Xenopus tropicalis: one gene and its partners. The protein of the gene in region 1 purifies or fractionates together with the protein of each later gene. This does not show direct contact. Links are inferred from orthologs where the notes say so. Each region holds a gene or a part of one and is shown on either strand. Other genes may lie near its edges.

Region 1 (3,577 bases):
TTATTTGGGCCAAATGGCATTATTAATGGCCCGCAGCACCATTACATTATAAAATGTAATTGTAAAATGTTATTTTAAAATAATGTAGTATGACATTATAGAATTATACTAATGCTATAATTGTAAGCTTGCTCTGCTTTTTTGTTTGCACTTTAGTTGTATTTGAATCTGTGCAACATTTGCATAGTGGTAAAAAGCAATCTGCTTGTGAAACTACAAAATATTTTGACATTTTGTCGTCATTCTGTCGACAGATGATTGCTGTGTTAGTGGATAAGATGATACGAACACAAATTGTTGACTGTGCAGCAGTGGCAAACTGGATCTTCTCCCCAGAGTTATCACGTGACTTCCCCAGGTGATCTATTTATTATTTGGCCTTACTGTAAAGTTTGATGGTGAAAACTATGCATTATCGAAACCACTAATAGGCAGCATTTTAGATTTCATGTACCTCTTCTTTCCTTAGGCGCTTCAAAAGGGGCTATACATTATATACTTAATTTGTGATCAAGCTTATACAGTAGCTTTTAATTTTTGAGTCTTCCCTGAGCTTGGTTGCCCTTTAAAATGTTTTAATTTTAACAGTTTGTTACTGTCCATGTCCTATTCTGCTTCCTTCAGATTTTAAACTTTCTTTACAGGTTTTATATATGGGAAATCTTGCACTCTACAATTCGGAAAATGAATAAACACGTCCAGAAAATCCAAAAAGAACTGGAAGACATGAAGCTAAGGCTAGCTAAACAGCATAAACATGTATGTAACTTAAAAGAGGAAAAGAGTAGGGCATTTGGTTTCTGAGTTACTGAGTTTCCAGGATAGTTTTTCATGGAGCCCTTTTAGGTATTCCTATATTTAGCTCATATGGCGAAGTATCTAGCAATTCTTGTATACTCTTTGTATTTAAACAATGTTCATAATGTACAGTGTCCTGGTAGTTGTGTACAAGTTAGTGCTTCAGAGAAACTTAGCTGCCCACACTCCGCTCTTTACTTTTAATTAAAGATTCCTTGCCTTGCATTGCATGTTCAGAAGTACAGTGCCCATACACAGTAACCTTTTGTGTGTACACCATTTATCAAACTTGAATAAAAGGCTGTATGAAAAAGACAGTCACTTTCTCAACAGCTGGTTTACCTGCTGGCAAGGTGTACAGGCAAATGAAATTATAAATTTGCATATATCTATGATCCACAAGGATCATGTGGTTGACTGTCTGCTGATGCATTTGCCCAGTCAGGCAGCATTCTTGAAATTGACAAAACTGTCTGAACAAATGGTCATATATTGCCAGCTTCAGACTTTTCCCAGATAATTTATAGTATGAATAAAGGTATTTATGTGCCTCCGCTTCATATATAGCACAGTTTTAAAACCAAAAATGAGAGGCATGAACCTTTACTTAAGAAGTGAGGGGTAAAACTCTCCAAGTGGAGGACACTTTAGCTCTTTTTATCACTGCATTACCTGACCCCTCTCGTTTTTCAGTTTGATTGCTTTCTAACCCTGATACCTCAGAAGCCACATTCCAATGTTTTGCAGCTGGGGAGATCTAGCAAGAAGCTGCATTGGTGGTCACAGGGACAAAAAAGAGCAATGTGAATGTGTCTGTAAATATTTGTGTCATTTTTGCCTGAATGCTTGAATGTGTCTGGCTATAAATCATTTAGTTAGCGTTAATGCTTTTACTGTTTAGTTTTGAGGACATGCTATGTTTGAATGTATGTTATGTCAGTATCCTCTGATTTATGCATTTTTAAGAAGTCGCTTGGTGACAGTTTTATTAATTAGGTAATTTAATGTTTTCTATGAGCTGTGGTTTTTTTTTTATGCAATTAAACCCACGTGTACTTTGTTTTTCTCCTCCCTCCTTCCCCCTCCAAATCTGACTGACTGGTTTCTAGTTAGAAAAAAGTATTATAGGACACAGAGATTTTCCACCTGAAATGACCAATTTTGGTCAATTTCATTTCAGAGAGACAGTGATGACAATGATGAAGACAGTGGCAGAAAGGATGGTCCTCTAGAAGAACAGATTGAGCGGCTGCAAGAGAAAGTTGAGTCTGCTCAGAGTGAACAAAAGAACTTGTTCCTTGTCATATTCCAGGTAATCTATCCAGATGCCAAATATTTTGTATCTAAACTAAAGGCAACACAATGTGCAATGTTATATTTGTGCTGATTATGCATTTTCCCTCAGAGGTTTATCATGATCCTTACGGAACACTTAGTTCGCTGTGAAACTGGAGGCATTGATGTGAATACTGCTTGGTATAAGAACTGCAGAGAGAGGCTTCAGCAGATATTCCTACAGGTAACACGTGTAGAGCAATCCATCTGTGCTTGATATAATATAAGACTTTCTACGTATTAATTCAAGATTGAATAGGTATATAACAAAGTGTTGTTGGTCATTTACAGCATCATCAGATAATCCAGCAGTATATGGTGACCCTGGAGAACCTCTTGTTTACAGCAGAATTGGACCATCACATCCTGACCGTCTTCCAGCAGTTTTGTGCATTACAGTCTTAATGAAACCTGTGCCGGAGTTTTTCTCGCCCACAGCTGCCTTCTAGGCCTGGAATGTTAATAGGAAAAGACATTTTTGGTCAATAACACTGAAAATGTGATTGGCAGTAGAGAAAAAGCCATCATTTGCAGTGTTACACATATTGGTTATGATATTTGCTTCTTTTTGAACATTATAGCTATTTTATGAGAGAATATTTGTTTTGGATTTGTCCTGTGTTGCTTACTGTATTACCCCTCCCATTATGGTATTGCTACTCTTTGTAGACATACTTTATGTAGTTTTTTTTTTTTTCTTTTAATATTTTCATTGGAAGTTTCCTTCATTGCAAAGTGAGTGAAACTTCACCTTTTGTCAGTGTGGCAATGACCACATGGTTTATTTTATATTTGTCCTACTACAATGAACATGTCTGAGGTTTTCATTCTTTCATTCTAGATTTCCCCCATACCCTGATCCATCCTAGAGTTCTTAATTCTGGCTACAGCATGATTTAAATACAACTGAATTACTTTTTTAAGGTTCTTGTCCTTGGTGGTGTTTTTTTTTTTTTTTTTTTATATAAAGAAACTTAAAAATTTGAATACTTCCACTCCTTTAAAGAAATTAAGTTATGTCAAGAGAATGTAAATATTACATTATATCTAACAAGTAAGACACACAAGTAGCTACCTCACAGACATACGCAGTGTACAGTTTGAGTTTAACTATGAGATGTTCTTACATAAAGCTTTGAAACTCAAGAGTCTGGAATTACAAATAAAGGCATAGGGGTCTATTATACAGAATGCTTGGGACCTGGCATTTTCCAGATAACGATATTTAATTGGGATCACCAGACCTTAAGTCAGCTGCAAATAAGTTAAACATGAAATAAACCCAATAGGATTCTTTTGCTACTAATATGAATTCATACAGCTCAGTACAAGGTACTGTTTTATTACAGAGGAAAAAAAAGGAAATTATTTTTAAAAAAATGAGTTATTTGCTTAAACGGGACAGTATGGGAGATGGACTTCCTGTAATTCAGAGCTTTCCGGA
Region 2 (3,303 bases), on another chromosome or scaffold:
GTATGGTGAAGCACAGATATACAATACAATGTAAATATTGTGGAAATCAAACCATTCTGATCAAACATTATGATTGCGCTGTAACATCAGATTCCATAATGCTAAGTTCGGACTTTTTTATGAAATTGTATGAAATGTTTTGTCTTCACTTGACCATTAGTACTGATTTTATGATTTACTAATTGTACAGTTGCATGCATAATCAATAAGTTGGCCCTGTAGGTCCTTAAATAGGAACTGTTGCAAAAATGTCATATCACATGGAAATAAGATATAATCTTAATATAATCAGAGAATACTGTGCTGTTTCAGAAATGAAGTTCCTCAGCAGTCTGTTGCCCTTCATGCAGGAGTCAGTCAGATTTTGATGGACAGTTAGAGCAAGTGCATTGGTGTGTGCTTTTTTGCCTAGGCAATGTAGTCTAGAGCTGTCTTTCTAAATACACAACTCTGATACAAAGCTGCATGTAGAGAGAGTGGATAGATTGTCAGAAATGGTACAGAATTTCCAGCTGATTATATTTAGATAGTTTCTTATTTACATGAGATGAAGCTTACATGAAATTTTAGTTTTCTTGATAGTTCCCTTTTAATATTTGTCTGATAAGAAATCGTGCTACTATATTATCCCATCACATGGCATTTATAACACAGCGTTAATACAATCTGTGTGGCTTTTGCATTTGTAAATCCCATTATTTTAATAATAACATTGTCATATTTTTATATTTATTGAAGTTGATCACATTTTGTTCTTTAATGAGGGACAACTGGTTTGAAATAGTTTAATATTGGGCCTCATTTGCTATTCAAGTGGAGCTGCTAGAGAAAAAAAACATTTTGCACCTTTGCATGTGTTTAAAGGAAAAATGCACAGATATAGTTGTTTTTAATTGTTTAGTGACGGCTGTGCCTATTACACTTGGGTATAACTCACATAACTGACTGCACGCTGTGCCTGCAGGTATTTTGCATTACAAAAATTGCACTATTGAGCATGTAAATATATGCCAATGTCCCCCTAGTACTGGTTATTTTGAACACATAGGCAATTGTGCAGAAACAAATACACAGGGTTTTTTGTGAAATATATTACTGCATTACTGAGAATAAAACAGGGCAAATTATCAGTTTTTGCTGTTTGCCAAGTACCATGTTTAGGAAATGAGGCCCATTATCATTCATTTTCAGAAGTAACTCCATTTAATGCATCAGGGAATCTCATGTACAAGAAACCTGTAGATTTGAACCATTCTGGATTGCCTTCCTATCAAGGTAGATGTAGGTACCACTGATCATGGAGTTACTGTGCCATGTTACCTAGTCCCATCGGTCAGAAGTCTTATGGGTTATAGAAATCTTTTCTGCACTCCTTGCAAGTAATAGAAATTCACAATCATTTGAGCAGAAAGCAGGCCCCCTCCCCTTACTGTGTAACCCTTAATTTCCCACCCAACCCCCTCCTCCAGCCAATGGAAATCTTCGTGGATGATGAAACAAAGTTGACACTTCATGGACTGCAGCAGTATTACGTCAAACTGAAGGACAACGAGAAAAATCGTAAGCTGTTCGACCTTTTGGATCTCTTGGAGTTCAACCAGGTTAATAATATTTTCTTTTTTGCATTGCTGTTAATGGTTCTGTGCATATTATAGCTGGAATTTTTGTGGTTTAGACTAGATTTCTATTGTTATTCTAATACATACTCTTAAAATAGAAGATAGCTAAACAGTCTACAAAATGGCCCTTGCCTGCTTGCTGTGATTGTGAATTACAAGATTTATATAGTGTAAGTGAAGTTTATTTTACTTGACAAACAATAGAAAAGAATTTTGAATTTTTTGTTAGGTTCCCTTTAAAGGAGAAGGAAAGGCTAAGTCACTTGGGGGTGCTAAAATGTTAAGCACCCCCAAGTGACTTGAATCGCTTACCTCGTACCCCGGGCTGGTGCCCCTATTAGGAGAAAACCAGCACCAGCCTGGGGGCGATGCGCTTCCTCCTTCCACCTTCGTTAAGCCTTGACTGTGAGTCAGGCGCATGCACAGTAGAGTGATAAAGCCGACTTCTCTGTTAAAGTTCAGCTTTTCACTCTACTGCGCATGCGCGCACGGCGAAGGAGGAATCGCTGCAGGTACCCCGGGCTGGTGCTGTTCTCTCCGTACAGGGGCACCAGCCCGGGGTAAAAGGTAAGCGATTCAAGTCACTTGGGGGTGCCTAACATTTTGGCACCCCCAAGTGACTTAGCTTTTTCTTCTCCTTTAAGTTGTGTTGTTTCTCCATTTGGAGCTTTTCTGTGGCAGAGTGAGTACAAAATAAAAGGAACAAGCTGCATTTTTTCATTCTTTTCCTTGTGGTGGAAAGAATGAAAGATCCACCGCAAGAACTGTATGAAGAGATTCTTGTAAGAGCCCTTACTGCTCTTATGGCATTTATGAACCAGTGCCCCATGGTTTGTGAACTACCGTTATGGATTTGCTAAGGCTAAACAAGAAAATAAAGTGCACCTGTAGATGTGGTTGTATTTAGAGCGAAGCGGGTATTGTAGTGATAGTTCAGCATATACTTAAAGGAACAGTAACACCAAAAAATTCAAGTGTATAAAAGAAATTCCAATATAATGTCCTGCTGCCCTGCATTGGTACAACTGGTGTGTTTGCCTCAGAAAGACTACTATAGTTTATATAAGTAAGCAGCTGTGTAGCCATGGGGGCAGCCATTCAAAGGAGAAAAGGCACAGGCACATAGCAGATAACAGATGAAACACTATTGTATTCTACAGAGCTTATCTGTTATCTGCTATGTAACCTGTGCCTTTTTTCCAGCTTGAATCGCTGCCCCCGTGGCTACACACCAGCTTTTATAATATATAAACTATAGTAGAGTTACTGTAGCAAACACACAACTTTTACCAGTGCAGGGCAACAGTACATTATAAATAAAGTTCAAAGAACCCGGAGAGTACCATTGTATGCAGTGAAACAGTGTAGTTTTATTGAGACATCTTATAGCACAACATGTTTCGGCTCACCAGCCTTCCTCAGGTGCTGGTGAGCCGAAACATGTTGTGCTATAAGATGTCTCAATAAAACTACACTGTTTCACTGCATACAATGGTACTCTCCGGGTTCTTTGAACTTTATTTGTAAGCTACACAGCCAGCACGGGGGCTGCTACCTGTTGAGGAGTACTTACTGAGTAAACTAGAAGCTACGGTAGGACTTTTTGAATTTTTTGGATATCAACAGTACATTATATTTCATTTACTTTAAAAAATCTTTGGTGTTACTGTTCCTTTAAGGCATT
Region 3 (4,297 bases), on another chromosome or scaffold:
GGGAATTCAGTTTGCCTTGGACTGAGAAGTGGGTTAGAATTTCAGTTCCTTTATCTGACACCTTTGTGCTTCCACTTCTAGAGAGCTGACCAAACCTTTAGTGCTCATTGGCAAAGCTGGAGTCCTTCTGGCAGAAATCCTTGGATTATTGTGCAAAGGCATGGTGAGTATATTCCTGGTTAGTATGCAGTCATTGTCATTGAAGTATTATGTACATTCTTGTTAATAACACACCCTATAAATTATTTCCTAAAATCAGAGTCATAAGAAGGCTGGAGCCCTGTGGAAAGAATCTGGGCTAAGCTGGAAGGAATTCTTGTCCAAGGACCAGGATATTAACAAGTTTATAACTGACAAGGTATGAAATCTGTATCCTAAAACATTCTTCTCAACTTTTTTTTTTAATAAAATGTTTTTAACTTGTTTTGCTTAGTGTAACGGCATATATGCTAAATAGTTAAAGCTTTGTTTTAACCACTTGACTGTCACATAATGTAAATTGTATTGTGCTGACTGACTGATACACAACTTCAAATATTTGATTTGTGCAGCAAAATGGGGTGTTTGGCAACAAAAGGTCCAGAGCCCTGCTTGAAAGGCGTTAAAGGAAAAGTAAAACTAAAAATTAAGTAAAAAATGTATTCTACCCTGCCCCAATAATTGCCCTGTCCTGCAAACCTTTTAGTATTTTGAATACCTTTTTAAAAAATATCTGTTTAAAACTTGGCTTCCGGTATTTGAAAAAAGGCAATGCAGGGCAAGCATCCACTATGCGGCGATCTATTGATCGATCCTAGCCTGACTCTCGATCAATCGATCATCGCATACTGGATGCTTCCCCTGCATCGCCTTTTTTCAAATGATTAACATTGTTGCCAGTGGAAAAGAATTTGATGGAGATAAGTTGCCCGCAGTAATGAAGATTAATCACGGGCTCCTTACTGAAGCTCCATGTTTTTATTCTGCTAGCATTGCTTTGCTTTGGGCTAAATTAAATGCTAGTGGATGAACTGTCCTGTATTTTAGTGAATGGAGACAAAACTGCCTATATTGCCTCCCATCGCCTTAAGGGCAGTGGCAGGTGGGATGCTCACCCCTGTAGTCCTTTGACTATGGGCAACGTCATTTCCCGCAGTTGAAAGAGATCTCCATCTGCCATTGTGCTAAAGGCTGCTGCACATGGACAGGTGGGGATTTCACTGCTACTGCTTTCAGAAAAAACAGGTTTAAAACTGCCCTGATTGCACTCCGCAACTTTTTATAATATAAAATATGCCGTGGCTATGGCGGATGGAGCAGTGACCTGTGGAGTCTGACTTTCACTGCTCCATAGTTTTCATTCAAGGTCCGGATTTTATTGCACCTAGAGATAAGAACTGAATAGCTGAGGAGGCAACTGTGGTGGTGGTTTCTACAAGCAGAGAATTATGCATAATAAATTGAGATGGCTGCCCTACACCTTTATTAAAACTATATAATTAAATATACATTGGAAAATAACACTTCAAGTGGTAAAGCTAACTATTTGCACTGCACACAGTGTAATACAGTATTAAAACTAAAACCTTTCATCATGACTGTTTTAGGCCAGTTTGTCTCATCGTTTTTTTTTTTTTTTTTTATAACTATTCCTTAGTCTCAACTGCTTTTTCTTTTCCCCTGTAGAAACTCGAATACACAACAGGAGAGGAGACTGAAACACCCAGTAAGAAAGACCTCACCCCTGCTGAACTTGATAAAATTTTGACAAAACTTTTGAAAGAGAACAGCAGTAACCAGAAGATATTTGACTGGATTGAAGTAAGTAGGCGGGAATGTTGCAGAACTTTGGCTGGTTGAGTACTGTTAGATGTCAGTACCTTACTGTTCAGCTCCAACTTATTTTGTTGTTCTTTTCAGGCCAACTTAAATGACCAGCAAACTTCATCCAACACCTTTGTTCGAACTTTAATGAGTACTGTGTGCCACTCTGCTATTATTTGTGAGTATTAACACTGACAAAACCAACAGGCAACCATTCACATTTATTTATTTTTTGATCACTGTTTGGTCTTGTTTTTCAGTTGAGAATCCTTGTAGGGTTGATGTTAATATTATCCATACTAGAGCCAAATTTCTTCAGAAATATTTAAGTGACGAGGCCAAGGAACTACAGGCTCTCTATGCTCTACAGGCACTTGTTGTAAAGCTTGACCAGCCCCCAAGTAAGTAGTAAGCATAGTGGGATGTAAGCCAGTGACTGCCTTTGCTTGCTGCACATTCCCTTTTCCCTCTATCCTCTTGCCTGTGCATTTTTAAAATGTGTATTTTACATCAGTGTAAACAATGTTCATAGAAACATGCTTTACTGTGTCTGTTCCCAGATCTCCTACGGATGTTTTTTGATGCTCTCTATGATGAGGATGTGATAAAAGAGGATCCATTCTACAAGTGGGAGTCCAGCAAAGACCCAGCTGAACAGCAAGGAAAAGGTGTTGCTCTTAAATCTGTCACTGCCTTCTTCACATGGCTACGGGAAGCAGAGGATGAGTCTGATAATTAACAGTGCAGGCCAAAAGTAATGCCTGTCATCCTTTCTCTGTTTTCCTCTGGGCTTCCATTTTTTTTTTTCTTTTGCTGTTGTATTCACACCACCCAAGCTCTAATGGACTTCACCAGAAAACACAAATACTCATGATTCTGCTTTTAAAAGAAAAATTGACATTGGCTTAAATGATGACCAAGGTCAAATTGCTAGGAGAGCCTGGAGTAAAATTAAAAGATGGTAGGAATCCTGGTACAGAGATTGGGCGTGGAGCCTGGCGCGCACACAGCTGTGCACACTGTAAAGGTTTCTTGCATTTTTGGATTTTTTTTTTTTTTGGAAACAGTTTCTTTGGGGTTCACTTTAATAAATGAGTACTTGATACATTTTGGGACTGCTGAAAGAGGGATGGAAGCTGTGCCCTTCTACCCTCTGTGTTGTCACACAACGGGGCACAGGCAGACTTCTCTTACGCTTGCTGATGTGATTTTTTTTTTTTTTTTCTTTTTTTCAAGAGCAGACTGGAGACCACATGTTTCAGTGGGATGTTGCATCTGTTCTTCCCTTCTGCTCTTGATGTCTGAAATATAGATATAAATATATATATATTATATATAAATATATATAATTATTGCAAATTGTTTTAGGTTGAAAGATGGCAACAGGTGCCATTTTTGAACCTTGTGTTTCTGATCTCCTGCCCACACGGAGTTCAGGAAGATGGCTGAAATTCATTGTTTGCTTTTTATATGCAAATTAGTAATCTAATGAATTCCTAACAGATCTGAAACAATCCACATTGGTGCGTACTCTACCAACTGCTGATATTTTTTTTCCATTTTTTTTTTTTGTTTTTTTTTTTGTTTTATATATATATATCCCCTGTTCCAGGGGGAATGAAAAGGACTTAATTTTATTATGTTAAGATCACCAAGTGTTGGAGATGCACCCCTTAAACCCATGCAAATTCTGTATTTATAGAGAAAGCAAAACCTTTTGGTTATTTTCCCTCCCCATATGTTCTGGAGGTTCTTGTAATTATGAAACAAACTAAGGATTGAATTCAATTTGTAAATACATTTTTGCTTTCTTTATTAAGTATTTAATGATTCTGACCTACAGATTTCCTGCAAAACCTCTTTTCACAGAAACTGGAAATAAATGAGAACATTACATAAATTGTGCTATCTTCTTGCTGTAATGGCACTTTGCTTTACATGTATGGTCACTGCATTAATAATCCCATACAATTCAAGCCAAAGGGATGATTATCAGTTCATTAAAAAAAATCGGGTAGTCATTTAGCTATTGCTTCACCTCATTATTAATGCCATATTAAAGAATTACAAATCTGCAGCAGTTCACGTTTTTCACATTTTCACTAAATCTTCCCCTTGTTATACTGACTCTACGTGGTGCTTGGCACCTTTTCTTTGATACTACACTAACAATGAATGAATAATAGTCATACATGCTGTACTGTCACACTTAAAATGGCATGCTCAAAATTCTGAACCCCAAGTCTATAAAATAGTAGAGCCAATCCCAGAACTTCACGTAAGGGGAAAGTTGAACACCATAAAAACAGACAGAACTTGGGCTATCTAAAACACCAATGTACATGACAAGTGTAAAATAAGTGTAAAAAAAATTTAATTCAAATAACATGCCCAAAGAAAAGCCTAATGCATTTCATGTGTATATGGCATTCAATAATAAGGATATACCTGTGCTAAAAATGGCAGCATTATTCTTCAGTTTCACCCTTTCATT

What was found. Proteins that work in one complex are often made in the same cells at the same time.
Region 2: the proteins of ncbp1 (region 1) and ddx39b purify together in Homo sapiens (affinity purification with mass spectrometry; 6 studies listed by BioGRID and IntAct, with this or other methods). This does not show direct contact. The link is inferred for Xenopus tropicalis from reciprocal best matches to the Homo sapiens genes NCBP1 and DDX39B.
Region 3: the proteins of ncbp1 (region 1) and eif4g1 purify together in Homo sapiens (affinity purification with western blotting; 3 studies listed by BioGRID and IntAct, with this or other methods). This does not show direct contact. The link is inferred for Xenopus tropicalis from reciprocal best matches to the Homo sapiens genes NCBP1 and EIF4G1.

The regions. Positions count from the first base shown.
Region 1 is NC_030677.2:107,434,259-107,437,835, forward strand, and holds the end of ncbp1 (nuclear cap-binding protein subunit 1), read left to right. Parts: intron 1-254; coding exon 255-358; intron 359-644; coding exon 645-759; intron 760-1,978; coding exon 1,979-2,110; intron 2,111-2,203; coding exon 2,204-2,317; intron 2,318-2,424; coding exon 2,425-2,538; 3' UTR 2,539-3,060; downstream 3,061-3,577. UniProt on the Homo sapiens protein: Component of the cap-binding complex (CBC), which binds cotranscriptionally to the 5'-cap of pre-mRNAs and is involved in various processes such as pre-mRNA splicing, translation regulation, nonsense-mediated mRNA decay, RNA-mediated gene silencing (RNAi) by microRNAs (miRNAs) and mRNA export.
Region 2 is NC_030684.2:74,192,731-74,196,033, reverse strand, and holds part of ddx39b (spliceosome RNA helicase DDX39B), read left to right. Parts: intron 1-1,469; coding exon 1,470-1,601; intron 1,602-3,303. UniProt on the Homo sapiens protein: Involved in nuclear export of spliced and unspliced mRNA. Component of the TREX complex which is thought to couple mRNA transcription, processing and nuclear export, and specifically associates with spliced mRNA and not with unspliced pre-mRNA.
Region 3 is NC_030681.2:99,788,719-99,793,015, reverse strand, and holds the end of eif4g1 (eukaryotic translation initiation factor 4 gamma 1), read left to right. Parts: intron 1-81; coding exon 82-163; intron 164-259; coding exon 260-358; intron 359-1,665; coding exon 1,666-1,800; intron 1,801-1,899; coding exon 1,900-1,981; intron 1,982-2,063; coding exon 2,064-2,204; intron 2,205-2,363; coding exon 2,364-2,542; 3' UTR 2,543-3,711; downstream 3,712-4,297.